3 linked regions of the Lonchura striata genome follow. The protein of the gene in region 2 binds, or shares a complex with, the protein of the main gene of each other region. Links are inferred from orthologs where the notes say so. Each region holds a gene or a part of one and is shown on either strand. Other genes may lie near its edges.

Region 1 (7,141 bases), on a different chromosome or scaffold from region 2:
GCCCTGATACTGGACTTCAAGTTCAGGCTGTTCTTTACATCTGGCTTTGAGAAGGGCGCACTCGTTCCTGTAGGTTTTCCCATCTAAGCCACACACGGGACCCTTCCAAGTGATATTAGAGCAATCCGGAGCACAAACACACCGAGGTTTGTTCTTCTTGTTCATTTTACATTTCTTCCCGGGTCCACAGTCCACATTCTCGCATGTTTCTGATGGAAGGAAAGAGGCACCACTTTAGTACCAAGTGTGCAGAAGAGACCTGGTGTCAAAACTGCTTAAAGAAAGAAAGATACCGTGAACCCAGAGCACAGAGCAAAAACACCGTTCCCTCCCGTTCCAGGACACGCCGCTGGAGGTAAATTCCCTCCCGCCAGTGAAGGCAGGGGGGAGAGAGGGTCTCTCCCATCCTCCTTGTGAAGTGCAAGGCGGCAGGCAGAAATGGGGGGTCCCCCCCCACGATCCCGGGGCTGGTACGAGACGTCCCTCAAAATCCCGACGAGGAAGGAAGCAAGAGAACAGGGCTGCCCCCCCACAACTCCCTCCCCGCTCCTCCTCCCCCTGCCGGAGCCGCTCCTCAGCGGGGAGCAGCTCGCCAGCACCCCCTCACCTTTGCATGGGATGCAGTTTGGGGCTCCCCCATTAAAAATCATCCACTTAAAAAGCGTATTGTCGTTGACGTCCTCCGCCGTCCACGACGTGGTCAGGCGGCCGCTCTTGCAGCACTCCTCCTTGCTGAGGTCGGTTTTGTAGAGGACCTGGCAGCGCCCGTTCCGCGCCTGGCGGAGCCAGCAGTTCCCAGCTGTGGGGCGGGGGGCGGGGGGGACACCCAGACGGATCAGTGGCGGCCACCAATGACCCAGACACAGCACGTGCGCCTTGCCGTGACTTTTACTAGACTGCTTCCTTTTATTTGTCCCGTTTCATAACCCGCAGCTACTACGGCCCATTTGGAAGCGCAGTTTAAAAAACAAACAAACCCTCCCCCCCCCCCACCAAAACCCAACCGAACAAAAAAATCCTCCCTAAAACCACAAAAGAACTAAAAAACCCAAACCAAGAAAACAAAACAAAGTCCAAAACAAAACAAAACAAAATGAACGAAAGAGAAGACCGAACCAAAACAGAGCTAGAGTTTTTGGAGGTATTTATTCCATATGTAGAGCAGAAGGAGCACTGCCGACACGTGACAGAGGCTTGAAAAGGATGTGCATTTAAAAGGGAATAAAAAGAAAATCGCGCTTGCAAATTCCTTCCTCCTCCCCCTGCCCTCTCCTCCTCACCGCGGCTGCACAACAGCATTGTTTTAGTGCTGCACAGTTTCACTCCCAGCCCATTTTGCAATCTGCACGAATTTGGAACATTTGCTGTTAGCGAAGTCTTTCGAAATCGCCACATTTTGCTGTTTCTATTAACAAATGTCTCCTTCACTAACATAATTCAGCAGAGTTCCAAAAAAAAAAAAGTGGGCAAAGTACATAAAATACAAGGACACTTATAGTAGGAGGTCCCTATAGAGTTTTAAAAATCGATCAAGCTGGCAAAGTTATAGGTTCCATCTCTCCTGCAAACATTTCAGAGGAAAGTACACTGTCCTTACACAGGATAGAGTGGGTTTTCTTGGGGTTATTTTTTGTCTTCCTCCCCCCCCCCCCCCCCCCCGCCCCCCCGCCCCCCCCCGTATCCCTGTTATTTGTGGAGTCCAGCCAAGAACATTGGTCCAAGCAACTCCCCCTTTTTTAGCTGAAGCATTTTAGTTGAGATGGGTCTCCCGTGAATAACCAATGTGACTTCTCCAGCAACTCAATACCAATTGACTCTCCCGCTAATCCAGCCAGGGCTCGATCCTTCCTCCTTACTCCGATAGGAATGTACCGCAGCGCGGGGTGAGGATCGGCCACAGCAGAGATGTTGCTGAGCGCGGGGGAAGACACCCCCCCCCCCCCCCCCACCCCGCTAAAAATCATTAAATCATTGAACAAACAATGCCCTTATTAAAAAAATAAAAAGTTTTATGTCTTACAGTTGGCTAGGTTAGATTAATTATCGGTACTGGGGAAGAGAAAAAGAAAAGAAAGAATTATAAAAGAAGCAATGCCAAGACGTCCAGGTTGGAACATGGTCAAGAATAGGGGAAAAGCCCACAAACTAAAGATCAATATTCCCTTGTGTCGAAAGAGGGCTCTTAAGAGTTGTCAATATCAGATTCGGGTTTGTTTTGTTCACACGAGGAAAAAAAAAAAAAAAAAACCACACCAAAAAAAACCCCAAAAAACCACCACCAACTCACCAACTTATTTAAGCATACTCTTCAGTGCAGGAGAATTTACAACGTTAATATTTACTCAGACACACACTCAAAAAAAAAAAAAAAAAAAAAAAAGAGTAGGGAGGAGGAGAAAATCCCAATATTAAAGTCAATAAAATGACCACTTATTGGTTTCTAAAAATGTCAGATGTAATCCTGGGGTTCTCCATCACCACCTCTCCTTCAGTCAGTTAGGAGAAATAAAAATCTGAACTAAATTACCAACAAACTTCGTGCATTCATTCGGGAGCCGAGACTGGGAAAGTTCCCTCACGATGCTGCTCTTCATTCACGCTCCATAATAACAATAAAAAAACAAGAAATAGCCTATCTGTCCTCTGTTCCTTTGCTGAGCAGTGCGAAGATCCGATTAAAAAGGGATCTAAATGACACCTCTGCACCTCGCTACAAAGCCCATAGTTAACTTCTGTTCTGTTGGACCTTGGAGAGAGGCGTTTAACACCGCAGCAAACTAAACCCTGCCCGAAAGACGGAAAACATTAGTAATAATAAAGAAACATATGTGCGAATAAACAGTCTGGTCTTACCCTGCACTGTGTGATCTTCCATGAAGTGGCACAGAAACATCAGGATTAAGAGCATGCCCGGGTGGATTCTCTGATTTAACATCCTCAGTATAGCAGGGAGTGAGAGAGACGCAGAGACAGCGTGAGGGGGAGTAAGGAGAGGGAGCGAGCGCTAGCCAGCCTGCTTATGATCGCTCTATTGAATGAACGTCAGGCTCTGAATGCAGTCTCTCTTTAAATCTATACGGGGGTCCTAGCTGTCTGCGGTGGGCGGTCTCCTAATGTGTGTGTGTGTCGGGGGTGGGGAGATTTAAAAAGTTCAGTGTGAATCAGGTGACATTTCCCACCTTCTGGAAACCCTCTCCAATTATCCGCTCTAGGTGCACGCATACACAGGCGCGCACCCGCGCACCCTGAGCGGCGGAGCCGCCGGCGGGGGCAGCGGCGGGAGCGGCCCCGGCCCGGCCCGGCCCGGCCCGGCCCCGGCTGCAGCCCCCGCCGCGGAGCCGCCGCGGCCGCGCAAGCGCCACGGGAGGCTGGAGACCCGCGGGGGGTCGCGGCCGCCCCAGGGGCGCCCTGGCCCCTCCGGCGGGCTGGGGGTGCTGCCGGGGCGCGGAGCGGAGCCCGCCCGGAATCGGCTCCGCGGGCGTGGTCTCAGCGCGAGGTGGCTGCGGGGGATAACATCCCACTCCCTGCACCTCCGCCGGCCGGGCGGACAGATCGCTCGGCCCAAAGAAACCCCAAACCCCGATCGACTAGCCCCAAACCTGAAAAAAACCCAAACCCCTAAAAGACAGAACCGGCTAAAAGTTTAATACCTAGGGCCGTTCCCGGGTGATAGGCTTTTCATTGGGAGAGCCCGGGAGGACGAGACGGCAACGGGGGCGACGTAGGCGGTCTCCTTTCAGAAACAGAAAGATTGCAACATCGATAATGAACTTCTAGGGCACTAGTTTATTAAGCACAGTCTGGCATTATTCTCTCCTTAGAAAAGTTGGCGGTCTCTCATTTATAACATTTTTTGGCACCGCTGAATGAAACTGAGTAGGCGATATTTCCTTTTATACAAAACGATTACTTAACGGAAAATGGTATTGTTTATTCAAAAGCTGCCTTTTAAATTTCGATTCTTTCGCTTTTCTGAGCCACCAAAGCACAACAGACTGCGAAGTATGCAGACAGGAATGCCCGGACAGTGCCGGGTCAGGGGCCGGTGCGCCGCGGCCGCCCGCGCCCTCCGCCCGGCCTTCCCCATACCCCTCCTCCCCGCTCCCGCCCCCCCACCTCCCCCTCCCGACTGCCCCCTCCCCACAACTGCAAATAACTCAGTGATAACAGATTTTTTTCCACCAACTGCAGGAGATAGTGCTAATCTTTTAATAAAAGATCCCATTACAATGGGATCTGTCTGGACAGACTATAATAGATCCAGAAATACAGCCGTGCTAATATTAGAAGACAGTTGTTTGGGTGCCTCAGGCCGGGCCCTGGTCCCGCTTTGAAAGTGGGCATGAATCACAATGTCCCTCGGTACCACCTGCGGTCACACGCATTAAGGAGCAGACTGGTAAATGATTGACCTCGCTGCGGTTTTTTTTTTGGCTGTTTTTTTTTTTTTTTAAATTATTATTATGATCCTCGTCCTCCTCGTCCTGAGCATCGCCCGGGCATTTTAAGCACTTCAGAAGCTCCGGGACTCCACATCCTTTTTAATCTTTTCCCAGATTGGTGCCACTCTCCCCCTGCCCCCCGCCCCTGCTGCCGGAGCCGCGCTCATGCGGGGTTGCGTAGTGCCCTCTAACGGCGGCGGCGCGCAGCGGCAGCGCCCGCGCCCCGGCCCGAGCCGCCCCTGGCCGCGCCGGGTTCGCGTCCCGGGCAGCGCCGGCGCCCGGCCGCAAGGTGCTGCGGGGCCGCTCCGGGGCCGCTGTGCCCGCGGGCTGCGGGCACACCCGCTGCGCAGCTCGGGCGGCAGCACAGCTCCCGCCGGGGCAGCGCTGGTGCCGGGGCTGGTCCGGGAGGAGTCCCGCGGGAGGCTCGGAGGGATCCCGGCGGTGGCGCGGGGCGCGCTGGCGGCTGCTCCCGAGCTCGGCTGGGCTCGGCCCGGCACTGCACGGCTGCCCGGAGGGCTGCGGGGTCAGGCTCACCTTCCCGTGTTCCGTTTGTGTATGTTTTTTAGTAATTGGCCAATACAGTGTTTATCCTGAAAATGTTTTCAGTTATAGAGGGGCGTTTTCAGGCCGTGTTCCTGGAAATGAAACGCAGAATGGGTCGATAAGGTTTACACATGTGCTTTATGCATGCATCATCGGGAGATCAATATGATTGCCCTGGTATGGAGATTTGTATCACACCTGTTCTCTGACATCACTTAGAAACAGCTGCTGTTTCTTTTACTGTTTCCCCCCCCCCCTTTTTTTTTTTTTAATTTTATTTTTCTTTTTTAAAATGCTAGATACTGGATTTGTGAGTAAGAACATGTCAGGGACATATTATGTAATCAGACATGATTTCTTCTTTCTCACTATGTGTGCTGCTCTTTATAACTCCCCCACCCCTTTCTGCTTTGCCAACAATCATATTTAAATTACCAAAAAAACAATAGCGTCGATCTGTAACTGAACTGTCAGGCAGCACAAGAAAAGAGTGTTGTTTTCAGTCTGACAGGTTTCACAACTTTTTTCTACCAAGAAATGTATGCATTTTAATATAGGCTTTTGGACGTGAATCCAATCTTTGCAGCTGGCCCTGATCTTAGAATAATAGAGCTTTTAAAAAAAACCCTTATATACTTACATCTCAGACTTTCAGAAAGTTCAGATTTGGTTCTCAATTTACATATTTATGTGTTCTAATATAGCAATAGCCATAGCTACAGCTACAGCAAACTCCATAATACAAAATATTAAGTGGCTGGCCTCTGAAAAAAATAGCAGCAAAATATGAAGAAGGAGGAAAAGTAATCAGCAAGTTACCTTGTCAATATGTGCTATTAATTCACACACAGATGCAGACACACACATACATACACATATGTGGAATATTAACCTTGTGATGTCAATATTAACTATGTGATGTACTAGTATTGATATTACCTTTTACGCCCTTCCCCTCACTCTGTTGCCTAACAGAAGAGTGGTTGCTGGTATCAGGAGTGGACCACCTAGGAACCCCCTCTTTGATAAGGAACATGTTTGCAATAAAATTTTTTAGGTTGTGGATAGGACTCCATGCCAAAACCGATTATTTGGAAGAGATATGGATTTTGATCAAGCGCAAATGGGAAGGTCTATCCTGGCAATCTAACATTCAAGGGAGCTAAAAAAGACTCAGACACCCTCCTGTGGTCCTGGATGCATGTATGCATCATCCCATGCAGTTTCTCACACAACTAGCCTCTCCCACTCAAATAAAGGTAGAACGTCCTCTTCTGGTAGAAGACTTGTTACCTTGCTTTGTTCCCATCTAATTGCACTGATTATCACAAAAAGAAGGGCCTGTTTCTGAAAAACTGCAATTTCATGTAGGCTCTCCTCATTTGCATCTTAGATACTAGACTGAAGGACTTTTCTGAGTACCATTGTATTGTACTATTTGAAAAGCTTTCCCTCCACTTTTTCTTTTTAAGTATGGGAGAATAATTACAGACCTTAAATAACTTTTCTGTAGAAATTTCATGTGCTATTTCTTGGAAAAATGTAGCATAAAAAATTGTATTACAAAATTTGATTTCTTGATTTGACCAAGACCTTTTGTGAAAAACAAGTAAGTTCCTGATGAAACTAAGCTCTAAAATATGTGAGCTGAATTTTAATATCAAGTATTGGCTATGTGTGCTATTCCACTGAAATTGTTCCTGCACATCAGTGAGACTATTAAACATAGAACTTGCAGTGCATGCTCTTGGGGAGTGTTGTGCTTATCGGATGAATACAGAGATGCTGAACAGTTGTTTTTTCTTTTTTTATTAAATTGACCCAAGAGGTTATGGTGGGCAATGGACTGGATAAAGAGGTAGTAGGGAACTTACCTAATAAATAACACTGGTAAAACTGTTCATTCTGGTTCACACTGCAGAAAGGTCATGTAGGCAGGTGTCATTCATGTTTTCGGTCAAATAATATTGACATATATGTGATATGAGCCAAACTGACCCCTTCCTTACCTCCCTTTGGTGGTTCAGGAAGTAGTAACAGAAATGTGTATCCCCTAACAGTTTGAAAGATACCTACCTCTTACTGGAAGTACAAACATGACAATGTCCAAAGACATTCTCTTGTCTTGTGCTGGCAGTACCACAGACCAACACAAG
Region 2 (7,640 bases):
CTTTCCAGCAGTACTCCCGGACCACTGCCAGCAGGTGTTGCTGTGTTCAACAAAATGAAAAGGAGTGCGGCGCGGGGGGGTGGGGAGATGGGGAGAAAAATATTTATAAAGAGAGAAATAGGTGTGAAAAAAAATTAGTCACCGAGTAAAGCTTTCATTAGGCCTTTGGTAAAGCTATACACAAACTCCCCGGGGCAATAAGGAGCATGCTCTGAAATGAATAATGCTTTTCACTTCTCCTAAACTCCTTTCAGAACTTATCCTGCGCTATAAATCACATACGTGCTTGCTGTGCTTCACTCGGTAGCTTTCTCGTTCTGTCACGGACCACACACTTCTCCCCGGGAATCCTCTGCCCCGCGGCCGCGGTGGGAGAAGCTGGGTCCCGGCTGGTCGCTGCCCCAGGAGGGGAGCGGCGGTCACAGCCGGCACCGCACCGCTCTGACTGCGAGGAGAAGATAGCTCCGGCAGTCCCGGGCCGAATCTCCTCCGTAAAAGCACTGCAATGTGGGGTCCCTTGCTGAGAATATGTCCGCTGACAAATTGCAACAGGCACTGCACTACCAGTACGCAACAAATTTCCAAGAGTTTTAGGATGTCAGTTAAAACCAAATTCAGCCTGCTCCTGAGAAAAGCAGGACTGCAAGGTGGAAAAGTCGTTTGGCAAAACCTGGGTTTAGGATCCCCACGAAAAATAAGTCCTGAGACTAACTGGGTATATACGTGCTCATTATCTGTTTCTTGAAGCAAGTGTCTCACTATCCCTGAGGAAAAAGAAAGGAGGGGTGAAACAACAACAACAACAACAACAACAACAACAACAAAACCAGAAAAAAAAAAAAATAAAAAAAAAAGAAGTGTTGTTCTTTGTAGCAACTGGAACCACCAAACTCAGATTGCAGAAAAGCTACTGCAACCTGTTTCACTTATTATATGCGTATTAAAAATGGGAAACAAAGCAATCTATCTGGTCATATGTTTCCCATTAACTTCTGATTTTTTTCTCATTCTGCCAAAGCTGTTGTGTGAATACAGCACACACACCAGTTGGGATCAACACTGCTATAAGGACTCCCTGGTATCACTGTAAATTGAAAGCTTGAAATCTTTCTTTGATGCAGATCAGCCATATTCCAAGATAAATCAAAGTTACAATACCAAGAGGACATAAAAAATATAATTATAAGTACAATTCAGGCAAAAAAAAAAAAAATCTGAGGGATGGGGATTTTCTGGTAATCAGTGGGTGTTATGAATGAGTAAAGACTGCATGATCATGCCATTTGTCATAAACGGTACCACATAAAGCCAGTTATTATATGTGTTTAAGAAAGGAGATGGATTTTGGATTTACTTTTGACCTTTTATATATTACTTCTGTACTGCCTAATTGGCATAGTTATTTCTGATTTTCATTAATGTAAATTGAAATTAAAATTGCCATTTATTTTATTCCACAAGTGTTAATACCACACTTGCAAAAAAAAAAAAAAAAAGTGAACTGTCATTCATTGTAGTTTATTTTTAGATATCTAAACAGTTTTTAATAGTGTGATGCAATCTGCACGTCAAGGAGCCAGGAGAATTGGACAGGAGCAATATGATTCATTTTTTAAAGAGCTTTAAAGGGATCCCTAATTTAAACAGAAGGACATATTTATTCAGAGACTGAAATTAAAAAAAAAAAAAAAATCATCCAAAGCCAAAGGATTCTTACTCAAATGCATTTTCCTGAATTTGAAAAAAATCCAAATTTGCAGAAAGATTATCTGGTATATCCTCAAGTATGTACAAAGAAGAAAACAATTTGCAAAGTAGTAATTAAGTATCTGGCAAATACTGTATTTGAACTAGAACAGTGCTATCTACATCTAATAATATCTAGCTATGCAATTCAACAAGTTGGAGTGCATCTTCCTGACTCATAATGTTTGCTTTGTCTGATTTTAAGTTCTAGTCTTTAAATGGATACAGATATTTTGTCATGCTAGAGAATAAGGAGTTTCCATTAGATAATTAATTACCAGAAGTATGTCTCATACAGGAAAAACAGTCAATTGCTGATGTAACAGGATTAACCAATCCAGCACAGTGATCCGGCCCACTTTTGACAGACGTTATATGTGATGTGTACACACGAGAAGTACAGTATAAAGCTTCGCATTATGAGTACCACAAAGAGGAACTTCAGCAGTTCTTAAAGCACAATACAGCAGTCTCCTTCTGAGAGTCAGGACTAGAGAGGTAAAACTTTCAATCAGCTTTTTTCCTTTCGAACTGAAACTTTTAATTCCTGTGCATGCTGTTGCATACTGTTAGGGTTACATTGAATGAATGCATATGCAGAACTTTGCAGCTCAGGTAATTTGAAGAAAGAGTCTGAACCAACATTTCTGTATGTATTCAAACACATTTCTGTATGTATTTTTGTACGTATATGTATATACATGTAAGTACAAATAAACCATGTATCAGCGGTATTGGAAGACTCTCTTTTAGAAAACAGTGGTTTTTAGAAAGTTATGCTTTAGCATTAAATCTGTCATCATCATGGCATGCAAGTAAAATATGCTATACCTCTATGTAAAAGAGATTGTATGAGATAACTGTACCTGTAGTATATGGCAAGCAACATATACCCCACAGCAAGAACCCAGACATACTTATCTGCATTTTATTTTGATTTATGCCGCTCCCTTACTTTTCATCAGACACTGTTAGGATAGGTGCTATATTAGAACTATATATAACTCCTTTAATTATGTCATCTGTTAGTACATCTAATCATGAATGCATATTTTCATCTGAAATTATTTTTTCATCCAATTAAACTTTTAGTTCTATTTCAAGCTGACTTTCAGACTTCATATAATTACAACAGACTTTGGTCTGTTCACAAGATCCAAGAAAATTCAATGTATTATAGTGAGGTTTGTGTTACAAAGATGTGTTTATAAGAATGGCTGCAGGGTTTATAATGCTGACAGACCTGTAAGTGTAACAGTATATAACAGTATAGTAACTGAGGTCAGTAAAACACAGATGAGGGGGTACTGTGGATGCCTTATAACAGTAAAAGACTTATAAAAGATCTTAATTGAAAAGGACTAGCAGTATATAACATTTGTAAGACTTTGGTTGATTGTTCAATTACTTCTGTATGTTTCATTTACTCTGCCTATAATTCCTTGCCTGTCTCTTAGCCCATGTGCCTGTAGTCATCTCATGGAAATGAGAGACCTTTCAATGCTTATATTTATAAATTATTCCTTTCCACTGTGAAATACAATGGTTGACAGTAATATGCTGAGATATGCTGGAATATTTGCTGGGTAGGAGGTAAGCCCATCTAAGAAGACAGGTGTAGTAGAGAGAGAGAATGAAAGGAATGAAAAGAAAGAGGGCAAACGCTAAAAAAGAAGAAGCTGCTTTAAGAAAATTGGTACAAGATAATGTCTTGAAAGGAAGAATCTCAAAATGTATAGTTATAGTTGTCATTTTTCCACTATCAAATTCAAATGTAAGCAAGTTTGCAAACTTCAGCTTTGCTGGGTAAGGAAGAGAATGGAGGGGATACAGAATGTGAAGGCGACCTGAAGCCATGGCAATGGCACAGGGAATGCCTTCTCACTGCAGAGCAAAGCCCTCCCTGGCATAAACTGACAAGGGGCTACCAACACTGGCTTAAACTTCTTGTAGTACTTTAGATTTCTTTTAATTTCCAATGTCCTATTCTAATATTATGATTGCTCTCTGAGATTTAAATGAATGAAGTAATAAGTGCCTTCTAATAACAATGGACCCAATGCAGAAGATCTTACTCAGCCTTCACTCAGACAGAATTATTATTGGCATCGATGAGGGATTTGCCTGAGTCAGAAGCAAGTATGATTTGGCCAGATGACATGTAACACTTTTCACATTCAAAGCATTTTTCAGGCATCGCTTGATTAACCCCAAACCTAAATATATCTACCCAAGAACTTCCAGGCACAGACTAGCACAGAAGTAGGGCTATTATATGGCACTACCATATCATGTCACATATATGTACCAGCTCCTGCTTAGGCTTTCAGTGCCTGACTGCATTTTGCAGCTGGGGAGTGTATCATGTATTATAAACCCTCCAAACAACAGTGCTATTTTGTGCTTGTCAGACCTTTTGCCAGTGTTGATAACCCCCAGCATTTAGAAGTGAGCAGAAAAGATTTTTTTCTTCTACTCCAGGCAAAATAATGTTCTGTTCAAAATACTCAGAGCCCCTGCCCTCATTCCCATCTCATTCACAAGCTATTTAACATCTCCTGCTATCCCTAACAATACCAGGCAGGACCAAGAGCAAGGTGATCGTTAAAGATTTCACTCTCTTCATTCATTCATGTTTCCTCTGTTTAGTTAAGCCAGTGATACTGTTGAAGGAATAAAACAAACAAAACAAAACAAAAAGAAAGGGAAAAAAAAAAGGGGGGGGGGGAATGACAGCTGGGGGGGAGGGGTCAAACAGAAAGGAAAAAAAAAAGGAAAAAAAAAAGACTAAATTTACAGGAATGAGAAGATATTTTAGAAAGGGGGGAGGGAAGGAACCACGAGTAGTGATATTTGAAGAGAGGTGTGTGTTAGGGGAGCAATGAGCATAAGGAAGCCAGCCTGCCTGTTCCTCCCCCTTCCTAATCATAGCCTTTACTCACAGACAAAACTCCCTCCCTCTCTCATTCACTCACTCACTTTAGGCCAATCCGTCCTCTCTCTCTCTCTCCCTCTCTCTGTGTCTCTCTCCTACTCTGAGACAGAGTCAGAACTCTTCTCCCTGACAGCCACAAACATCTACAGCACTTATTGCATTCAGAGTGGGAACCTGCAAACAAAACTTCACAGAAAACTTTTGGTTCTTGTTCCAGAGAATTTGCTGAAGAGAAGGAAAAACAAACAAACAAACAAACAAACTAAACCAGCCCCCAAAAAAACTGTTCGTGAAGGGGGAGGAAAAGCAGGGCCTTTTAAAAAGGGAATCACAACAACTTTTGCTGCCAGGATGCCTTTGCTTTGGAAGAGAGGATTTCTGTTGGTGCTTTGCTGGATTATAGTGAGGAGTTCCCCAACCCCAGGATCCGAGGGGCACAGTTCAGTCACTGACTGTCCATCATGTGCCCTTGCCACGCTCTCAAAGGATGTGCCCAGCTCACAGCCTGAGATGGTGGAAGCAGTAAAGAAGCACATACTGAACATGTTGCACTTGAGGGACAGACCTAATATCACCCAGCCAGTGCCCAAGGCAGCACTTTTAAATGCCATCAAAAAACTCCACGTGGGAAAGGTGGGAGAGGATGGTTATGTGGAAATAGAGGATGATGTTGGAAGAAGAGCCGAAATGAATGAAGTTGTGGAGCAAACCTCAGAAATCATCACTTTTGCAGAATCAGGTGAGTGCTTAAAAAAAATAATGTAAAATATTCTTTGTGCCCAAACTGAAAAATATCCTTTCTGCCAAAACTGCAATAACTTATTTTCTTTTTCTCAGCAATAATGTTTTCTGTGAGGTTGTAGGATGAAACCTGGGGGAAGGGAGAAGGAGGAGTGGGATGGGGGGGTAGGACTCTGAAGGAATTTGATTTTTCTGACTTAGTCTTGGCTACAGATTACACTTGCTAAGCACAGTCAGTCACACAGGGAGGAAGCTCTCTAACCAATCTTGAACATAAAGTCAGGCTGCAGCAGGGTCCTCCAAACTCTGCCTGTAAATCGAGGGAACTTGCAGTATAGGGCTGGATTGCAGAGTTGATGGCAAAAGAAAAAAGACTGCAGCCTTCTGGGGAATTTATGAAGACAGAAAGTGAACTGCAAACTACTTTACAAACAGCCCTTTCATGTAAAAATTATAGTGGAAGTTATAAAATCAGATGAAGCAGCTTTAAGTTTTAGAAGTGAGATGGCTTTTTTGTGGGCTTTTTCCCTCATTTTTTTGTCTTTTTTTTTTTTTAATTTAACACAGCATCTTTGGCAATAAAGAGTTGCAGGGACTGTCAGATGACTTCAATAGAACTGGACAAGTTGCTGTAGCTGATCCAATTTGTAATGCAGACTTCTGCATACTGGAAAAAAGATTCTGCTTCTAAAACACTCCTGCCAAAAATGCAACCTTGGTAGAGTGTATTTTGAACTCTTTTACAGTTCTTTTCCCCGTAACTCTTAGGCAGCAAGAGCTCAGAATATATGTATTTAGTAAGTAATGTCTTTAGGCTAACATAAACTGCCCATAGGAAACAACTCTAAAGTTGTACTTTGCTGTCTTGTTCCTACATGAATAGGACCAGAACCCATTTTAATTCAACATATGTGTATCTGCACATAAATCTGTTAGTGTATGTGGGTATACTAGTGCACACATCAATAGCAGCTACTTGCAATAAGTCTATCATCTAACTAAGAGCAACTTTTTATGATGCTGTCTAGCCAAAGCATTTTTCCTGTTGCCAAGACGGTTTTAAAAGAATGTCATTGTTTTGTTTGGTACAGCATATGGTAGGCAAAGTATGCAAAGGAACTCCAAGCATTTTTGTTTAAAAGTTTGCTGCAGCAGTATAAACAATTAAGACAACACTCAGAGTTTCCAGTCCTGAAAACCTATTGACTCAGATGTTCTGATTGCAGGGAAGCCATGCACAAGAAGTGTGCATGCTTGTAAGTGCAGACATTCCTGCTGGCTGTCTGATTTCCAACTGTACAAGGAGCCCTTGCTTTTGGAGTCTTTGTCAATATACATATTATCAGTTCTTTCAGCATGAGAGCTCAGGCTTTTCAGATTTTCTATCTCCTCCACTTCAGAAAGCAGGGAGAAGATGTCAATGCCAGAGGTCATTAGAAGCAGGAGTAGCTCAACATTAGTTTAGAAATGAATTTATAAAAGCAAGAAAACCTCTAAGCTATCGATGAGTCGGATTCCCCACCTGGTTTTCAGCAGCTCGCTCTGAGCACAGTGGAACACATATGGCACGAACAGTGGTTTCTCTTCACTGTGTGCGTCGCAATAATTTGTAAACACATTATTGTCTCTCCTGAGCTCTGACACAAAGGAATCTGGAATTTGATATATGCCTGCTCTGTACAGTACCCTCAGCGGCGGCTGCCGAAGCCATTGGCTCTCGTGGTCACGTGAGCAGCAGAAATCGTGCCATTGCCCACACACCGGCCAATCATCCCGCCACCAGCCACCAGCTCTGTCACTCAGCTTGATTTACATAGCGTTCAACTACTGTTGCTGACAAATTACTTGGAGAGGACTTACGCTATGGAGCTGCAGGACAGGGGCATCCACTGCGTTCTCTCATGCCTTCTCCTCCCTGCCACAGTCGTCTTCCTTCCTACTAAGATGGTCCTGGAAGCCCAGGCAGGAGGGCTGCTCTGCTCATTTTTTCCATACCTGCTACCTTTCCATACCTCTTTGTTTTGGGACAAGGGAGGGACTATTGGCAACCTAAAAACTGAGCTCTGGTTTGGGCTTATAATGGAAATGATAAATCCACTCTGTGGAGTAACTTCAGATTACTCAAGCATATTTTTCTTCTACAGCCATTCATCTAGTGACTTGCTAACATCAGAGGATCTACCACATTTTACAGGTGCCAATGCTGCAACAACTTAAG
Region 3 (6,901 bases), on a different chromosome or scaffold from region 2:
AGAATAAAAATTAACCATCCCGAACACCCTTCTGGCTGTCCTTAAGCCGCTGTGCCGTTTCCCTGGTTAGCACAGGCAGGGTTTTTGGGTTTCTCCTGGCAGCGCTCGCCATTTCACAGCACATTTAGCGCACACAGTGCGGATCGATAGCACTACAGACACAAGACGAGACTTATCCATTTACTAACCACAGCAAAACGGCCTCTTCAGCAAAATCCTCCAACTCCATAGCGCTGGAAATTTAAAAGGCATCCTTACAGGGATCTCATTACTCCCTTCTCTCGGTCACACGGGGAGGCTGAGCACTTGTCTGCGAGCTTTTAGCCTGATAAACAAGTGTAGCTTTGCACACCCTGCAAGGATGCTAAAAACCCACCCAGAGCAATAAAGACACGCTCCGAATGCGGGCACAGAGCGCCAGGCTGGCTTGTGAAGCCGCGTTAGATCCTCACTCAGCTCCTAAGAGGGGTTTTTGTGAGACTGACGGAGCTCCAAGCACAAATGGACCAACAGTTGCCCAACCACTGGTTGCTGCCATAACAATTTTCCTCTTGGAAAAGCGTGGGGAAGTCCTCGCACCCCGCTCGCTTCCCAAGACTCAGCGCTGGCGTTTGAACCCCCAGTTCTGCTGTTTGACAGAAAAAATTAGTAGATTTTTTTCTTTTCTGCGCTAAAAGGCAGTGACATAACGAATACCAAAATACAAAGCGCTGCAAATGGTTCTTTAGAAACTGAAAGCCCGGCTTTTCACCCCAGTTCTGTTGGTACATCTCTACACGCACACACCCCTCGCTGTCACCAAAGGACGAGCCCAGCCTTTCAGAGCGGCACCTATTCTAAATTAATGAAGCATTAACGAAGGTCGCTATTCACCAGTGAATAGTCCGGGGTAAGAGAGATCAAACTGAAGGAAAGAGCATTTCAGCTGGGTAATTCTTATTTAAAACCAGCATCCAACACCGATAGCTGCGCTGCCAGGTTACTTATGTGACACTAGGTGGTTATATCTCCACATTTATTCCACACAATTGATCTGAAATCCAAGCGCTGCGAGCGTTTCAAGTGCTCACGTTATTTATATTTTTAAGAATAAAGACGAAAGCAGCTTCTGCCTTTACAGTCGCTGCCATCCACAAGTATTAGCCTCCTGAAAAAAAAATAAGATTTCTTCTCATTCATACAGAGCCAGCCCAAGTTTTCGAGTGCTGACCCCAAAGCCCTCAGTTTAAAGTGACAAATCCAGGAACATTCACTTACCTGATGAACAAGAGATAAGAAAAACAGCGAACGCCAACTTAGTAGCAGCTCCCATTTTCCAATGCTGTTAAAACATTTAAGTGACTTTAAGTATCCAGTTTTCTGGGTCCTGCAAGCTGGAAAAATCTCCCTTCTTGCTGAACCGTTATAAAGCAATTTATAGCAACATTTCTGCAGCAGGTAGTGTTCATAAAACACTAAAAATCAGGTTTGTTTAGACAGTGACGACCTCCCCAAGGCTCTTTCTAGACAGAATCCGGGTTGAGGGAGGGATAAATATATTTGGAACCGTGCTTCAAAACACACGTGTCATTTGGCTTCTGTACAAACGGTGGCAAAATTCAATTAATAAAAGTAATGCTACCAATCCACTTAAAAAAAAAAATAAAAACCAAAACAAAATAAGTCAACGATTAAGCTGCTGAACTCGACGAAGTCTCTGAGTCTCCAAATGTTTTCCACATCAGGCGCCGAGAAGGATCATCCCTCGTGGGTGCGAGTGTCGGGGGGTCGGATCGGGATCAGTCCAAGGCGATGTTTTCGTCCTGCCTCCCCCACTTCACACCTCCTGTAGTGTTTGGGAGAAAAGCAGCTCCATTCCAGTTCCAAACCTCGGGGCGAAGAGAGGAAGTTTTTTTTTTTTTGTCAGTTTGTAGATTAAAAACTACCTTAAAAACCAGCCACCAGCTACACGTGGGTTTTCTTGAATAAATGCTGAGGGATTTAGCGTAGCCCAGGAGAGGGAAAGGGGGGAAACAACAGTCTGGGAACAAACAAACCTTCGGGCTTCCCGGGAAGTGGCAAATCTCTAGTCCTTGGCCAGGCAGCGAGAGCAGTGCATCCCCCCTTCTTCACCGCCCTTCTCCAACACCAGCACTCCCGAATCCCAGCAAGATTTCCAATTCTTCTAGGAGATTTCCATCCCCTCCCCCCGCGAGAGGCTATATTTGGTATTTAAACACACAAGAGTGGCTGGGGAGGGGGGTACCAAAAAAAAATTAAAAAAAAAATGCAGTATCCAGGCGCTGGGAAGGAGGGTGGTATATTCTTTGTGGCAAATCCTTGCCGAGCGCCGTGCTTCCAGGAGAAATGGGCTTCTTTGGAAGGGAGGCGGCGGTGCCTCACGGCTGGGGCTGGATGGATCCCGGCTCCTCTCGCAGCTCACGGCTCCTGGATGGATCCACGCTCCTCTCCCTCCTCACGGACACATCTCCTCCTGGCCGCCCCGCCGCTGCTCACACACGGAGGCTCCACAAAATCCACCCCTCCGAGCTCAATCCAGTTCTTGCCTCTTTCTTTTTTTTTTTTTTTTTTTTTTTTCCTCCTCTTTTTTCTTTTCCTCCTAGGAGCGAGCAGCAGGAGACGGCAGGGGCGGGGAGGCAGAGCCTTCTCCCCGCGCCTCCCACACGGCGGAGCGGGGAGCGATCCCCTCCTCACCCTCTCCCCTAACTCTGACCCCGGCTCAACTCTCCGGTCTCCCGGGCGGCGGAGGCAGCGCGGCTCAGCCCAACTTTGTCCCTCCAGCAGTGCAGCTTAGGGGCTGGCGAGGCGAAAAGGCCGAGCCGGGGGATTCTCTCCGAGCGGCGGCGGCCGTGCCTAGAGCCCGCCGAGTGTCGCTGGCAGCGCGGAACAGCCCTCGGTGCCCTGCTGCCGCTGCTCCCCCGTGGTAATCTCATATCTACCCATTCACCCGTGTGGCGTGTGGAGAACCGGCCCAAGATGGCGGCGCCCGGGCGATTGTTTTTGTTTCCTCTCCGCCTCCCCCTCCTTCCCCACGGCCGCGGCGGCCGCGCCGGATTGACAGCCGCGCCACCCAATCACAACGCGGGGTTTGTGCCTTAGCCCCGCCCACCTCCTCTCGCCCCTCCTATCGGCGGCGGGGCGGAGCGCGCGCCCCCACGCTGGCCCCGCCCCCCGCGGCCCGCGCGCGCCGCCTCACGGGCGCGCTCCCGCCCGCCCTTCCCGCCCCTCAGGGCGCGGCCCCTCAGGCGCCCTCGCCCCGCTCCGCCCGACCCCGCTCCCCGCCGTCGCTAATTCCCCTTCGCGGGGCTCCTTCGAGGTGCTGGGGGGCTCCGGTGCTGGAGGCAAAACGCTGCCGGCGGCCACGCGGTGGGAGCTGGCTGGGAGGGGTCAGGACGGTGTAACACAGCGGGGGGAGGCTGGGGCCGCTGCCGCTGGGGTCAAATGTTGGCCTGGGCTTCTGCCTCATCGCCACCCCAGCCCCAAAATGTCCTGCAGGTAGTGCAGGTGAGAGCTACGGTGGTCTCTGTTTGTGGGCACGTTGCTCAGGAGCATCACTGCTGCTACAGCACAGAATCAGAGTCACAGAAGAGTTTGGGTTAAAAAGAACCTTTAAAAATCATTCATTTCCAACCCCCTGCCATGCTCAGGGACACCTTCCACCATCCCAGCTCCTCCAAGCCTTGTCCAGCCTGGCCTTGGGCACTGCCAGGGGTCCATGGACAGCCTCAGCTTCTCTGGGCACCCACCTTCAGAGGGAGCAATCCCTTCCCAATATCCCATCTAATTGAAACCTGCCCTTTTGTAAGCTGGAATCCATTCCAGTTGCCCTCCGTGCTGTTCTCTCCGTGCTTCTGCTGGGCTCCCCCGAGGTGCTGGAAGGCACCTGGAGTGTGTTTGTGTGTCCTGTCCAGGTCACTAATAGACTCTGCTCATTCACAAGTTTGGTGTCACTCCTTACAATTTTTTTTTTTTTTTTTCTTAGCTGGATGCCATAAAACACATCTCTTGTCTCTGGATGAAAAGGAAGACGTGGCTCTTAGATCTGGAGATCTCTGTGGGAAAACAGAAGAGCCTTAGTGCTGGCCTTTGATTTCTGTATTCTATAAAGATCTGTAGTTGCACAAGCAACAAGTGCCAAGTTCTCTGAGAGCTGGTTATCCTGTTCACCACCCCCAGGTGTTAGGTGCTCCCAGATTCCTTTCAAACTGTTTGGTGGCATGGACTAAGGGGTTTTTTTGGGATGTGAATAGCCGGTGTTACTAAACTGGAAGGAAAATTATCTGTATTTCACATATATGAATATACAGCCAAGTCAAGGCTTAGCCACACTGCTAAGCTGTAACTCACAGATCAGTAACTAGACCTGGTGCTCCACCAGGATCCAAGAAATTGATCTATTTCAGTTTTTTTTACAATGAGGTGTCTGCTTGAGTTCTTAATCAGACAACCTTGGTGTTTCTTTGTCGTGTCCCAACACTTCCCAACATTAAATTCATCCAGTGACCATATTTTTTTTATGATTTGAAATCTCCCAAACACAAAATAAGATGTCAGGGCTTGTGCACATCTAGAAGCATCAAGACATGTGGCAACACCTTTTATACCATCTTTTATCCAAGTATTTCAGAGTGATTTACAAGCGTTAATTAATGTTAAGTGTTACAACACTCCTACTTAATCTGTAGTTTTTAATATTCTTCAATAGCAGAATATTTAAACGTGACCTGTTCTGCAGGTTGTGTTTTCACTTGGCTCAGCTTCTTCAGAACACTGGTCATGTTGCCACATGAGTAGGAAATCATAGCTAAAAATATTGCTGGTGTGTGTGTGAATATATATTTATATATGTACTTCCCATTGCAAGGATTTGGTTTAGTTGTCATTGTTGTTGTTTTTTTTTTTCTTTTTTCTGAAAGAGTGTAAATTATGGTCCATATTTCTATTTTACTGGTTGTTTTTGATAAAAATAGAATAAATGTGTCACCTATATAAGAGAATTTGCCATGGCAAGGAGGTGTCTCTTACTCAAGGAGCTTATTATCCTTAGGCAGGGGTTGCTTTTTGCTGGCAGGATTCCTCTGGCAGAGCAAATCCTTCTGGCCATCCAGGAAATCTTGCAAACCCAGTCATTCTGTGGGGTTACTCTTATCAGCACCACAAGGAGAGCTCATTCCTTTTCCTCGCCACTTTTCAGCATGGCCAGGGGTCTGCAATGAGTGTTGGTGCTGGGATCAAGGAGATCTTCCAACCTGCACTGGGGATTTGCTCCCATTTAATTACACACACAAAAAAATTATATAGTTTGGTGTAGATATTCTACAGACCTTAGGAGAAATTGCCAACCGTTTTTATGAGGTACTTGATGCAAAATGCTTCAAGGGCTTTGGGCTAGGCTGTTGTTTTATTGCTAGTAAAAGGATGAGTTTTATCCCAAGCAGACACATTAAATGTCAGCACAGTTGCTGTCTCCTCTTTATTTTTAAATGTCTTTCTCATGTGAATTTTGGGAGTGTTTCCCTTTTTCACCTTTTGGCTCATCATTTCTATTTTCCTTTCGCCTCAAACTCCAGATCTTTTTTTTTCCCCCTTCCAAGATCAATCTGTCTGTGCATTTTTAATGAATCATTTACTGTGACATATGAGCACCGAAGACACAGTGTCAGGGACTTAAGCATCTGTGGAGAGCAGGAGGAGATGAAATGGATGTGATCTTAGCTTCAGTCTTTTGTTCATGTGGGATGGGACTTTGCCTAGAGGCAGCGCAAATATAACTTTTCCTTCTAGGGAGTAATGAGGAGAGTTAAAACCCAGCAATGTCTCATTTTTCTCTCTGGAGCACTGCTAGGAATTGAGGATTTCAGCTGTGCCTTTGCTATTCCCACTCTTAGCAGTGAATCAACACAAAACCCAACGTGGAAGGAGAGGAGTTTTTGTGCAGAACTCATTCAGAACACCTAGAGAAACATTTCTGAATGCAAAATGGGAAGCATGGTGTTGATAACATCAGGAGTGACACCAACAGAGAGAATCCTTGTCATTATCTCTTTCATCTTTCCTTGTGGTCTAAGTCATTCCCCCTTTGAAACTCTGGAGGAAGAGAAGACCCCATTCAGGCACTGTCCTTAAAAAACCAACAAAAAAAAAAAAAAAAAAAAAAAAAAAAAAAAAAAAAAAAAAGGACCAAAATGTCAAGAAATTAATCTGTCCCAGTGTTGCCCTCTTTACCAGCCAGCTTCAGTTTCCTTTGGGAAAAGGTGCTGGATGGCAGCCTAAATTATTTTATTTTAGAAAAGGTAAATAACTGCTTTAAAGTATTTTTGCTTTCATATGCATGATTTATGTGAAACTCACCATATTCCAAAAGAGTTTTAATACAGACTTTCAGTTCTGTTGCTGTGGACAAATAATAAAATTCCTACAAACTATTCATTATTTTGCACTTTTTACTCTGTTCCAAAACTCTTAAGATACTTCACAACTATATGAGTATCACAACTTGAAAACAAGAGAGAATGTGGACTTAATTAACCTTTTAAATGCTGCTGATGAACTGAAATGAAATCCAAAGCTTGCCTCTGCAATGCTTTTGGGTTGGGGCGACATAGCTGAGCATCAAAATGTTCTCCTTTAATGTTTCAAATCAAACTTTTAAATTTTAGATGCAGTTGCTGAATCCAGCTGAGCATCCACAAATTCAGATACTGGCTGAAATCCCAGCCCTGTTTTGGTGCAGGGCTAAAGTGGGATCATTTTATTCACATGAGCAGTGACAGGATTTGGACTGGATCACGTTCTCTAAAGCTGTTTTTGTAGCGAGTTTGTGTGCACAAATTCCCTTTTCAATTAAACACCTGGAGCCTATAGACCCTACGCCACCAGGGATTATTTTCCCTGCCTCAGG

The links.
Region 1: the proteins of INHBA (region 2) and FST are in contact, whole or in part, in a crystal structure (PDB 2P6A), measured with the Homo sapiens proteins. The link is inferred for Lonchura striata from reciprocal best matches to the Homo sapiens genes INHBA and FST. Residues at the interface, in NP_002183.1 of Homo sapiens: Asp315, Phe327, Asp337, Trp338, Ile340, Ala341, Gly344, Tyr345, His346, Gly360, Thr361, Gly363, Phe368, Thr371, Arg397, Ser400, Leu402, Tyr404, Asp405, Asp406, Gly407, Gln408, Asn409, Ile410, Ile411, Lys412; in NP_037541.1 of Homo sapiens: Trp33, Arg35, Val44, Leu45, Arg60, Phe76, Met79, Asp135, Glu152, Pro154, Glu155, Val180, Val181, Asp182, Gln183, Tyr188, Val190, Arg221, Thr224, Cys225, Arg229, Ser230, Ile231, Gly232, Leu233, Glu328.
Region 3: the proteins of INHBA (region 2) and ACVR2A are in contact, whole or in part, in a crystal structure (PDB 7U5P), measured with the Homo sapiens proteins. The link is inferred for Lonchura striata from reciprocal best matches to the Homo sapiens genes INHBA and ACVR2A. Residues at the interface, in NP_002183.1 of Homo sapiens: Ile340, Ala341, Pro342, His346, Arg397, Pro398, Met399, Ser400, Met401, Leu402, Tyr404, Asn409, Ile410, Ile411, Lys412, Asp414, Glu421; in NP_001265508.1 of Homo sapiens: Asn36, Asp53, Lys56, Phe61, Thr63, Lys65, Val74, Lys75, Cys78, Trp79, Leu80, Asp81, Asp82, Ile83, Asn84, Val100, Phe102.

Annotation. Positions count from the first base shown.
Region 1 is NC_134642.1:32,791,975-32,799,115, forward strand, and holds the start of FST (follistatin), read right to left. Parts: upstream 3,013-7,141; 5' UTR 2,936-3,012; coding exon 2,854-2,935; intron 800-2,853; coding exon 608-799; intron 210-607; coding exon 1-209. UniProt on the Homo sapiens protein: Multifunctional regulatory protein whose primary function is to antagonize members of the transforming growth factor beta (TGF-beta) superfamily including activin, myostatin, GDF11 or bone morphogenetic proteins (BMPs).
Region 2 is NC_134603.1:104,093,191-104,100,830, reverse strand, and holds the start of INHBA (inhibin beta A chain), read left to right. Parts: upstream 1-4,627; coding exon 4,628-5,420; intron 5,421-7,640. UniProt on the Homo sapiens protein: Inhibins/activins are involved in regulating a number of diverse functions such as hypothalamic and pituitary hormone secretion, gonadal hormone secretion, germ cell development and maturation, erythroid differentiation, insulin secretion, nerve cell survival, embryonic axial development or bone growth, depending on their subunit composition.
Region 3 is NC_134610.1:2,547,073-2,553,973, forward strand, and holds the start of ACVR2A (activin receptor type-2A), read right to left. Parts: upstream 3,013-6,901; 5' UTR 1,313-3,012; coding exon 1,258-1,312; intron 1-1,257. UniProt on the Homo sapiens protein: On ligand binding, forms a receptor complex consisting of two type II and two type I transmembrane serine/threonine kinases.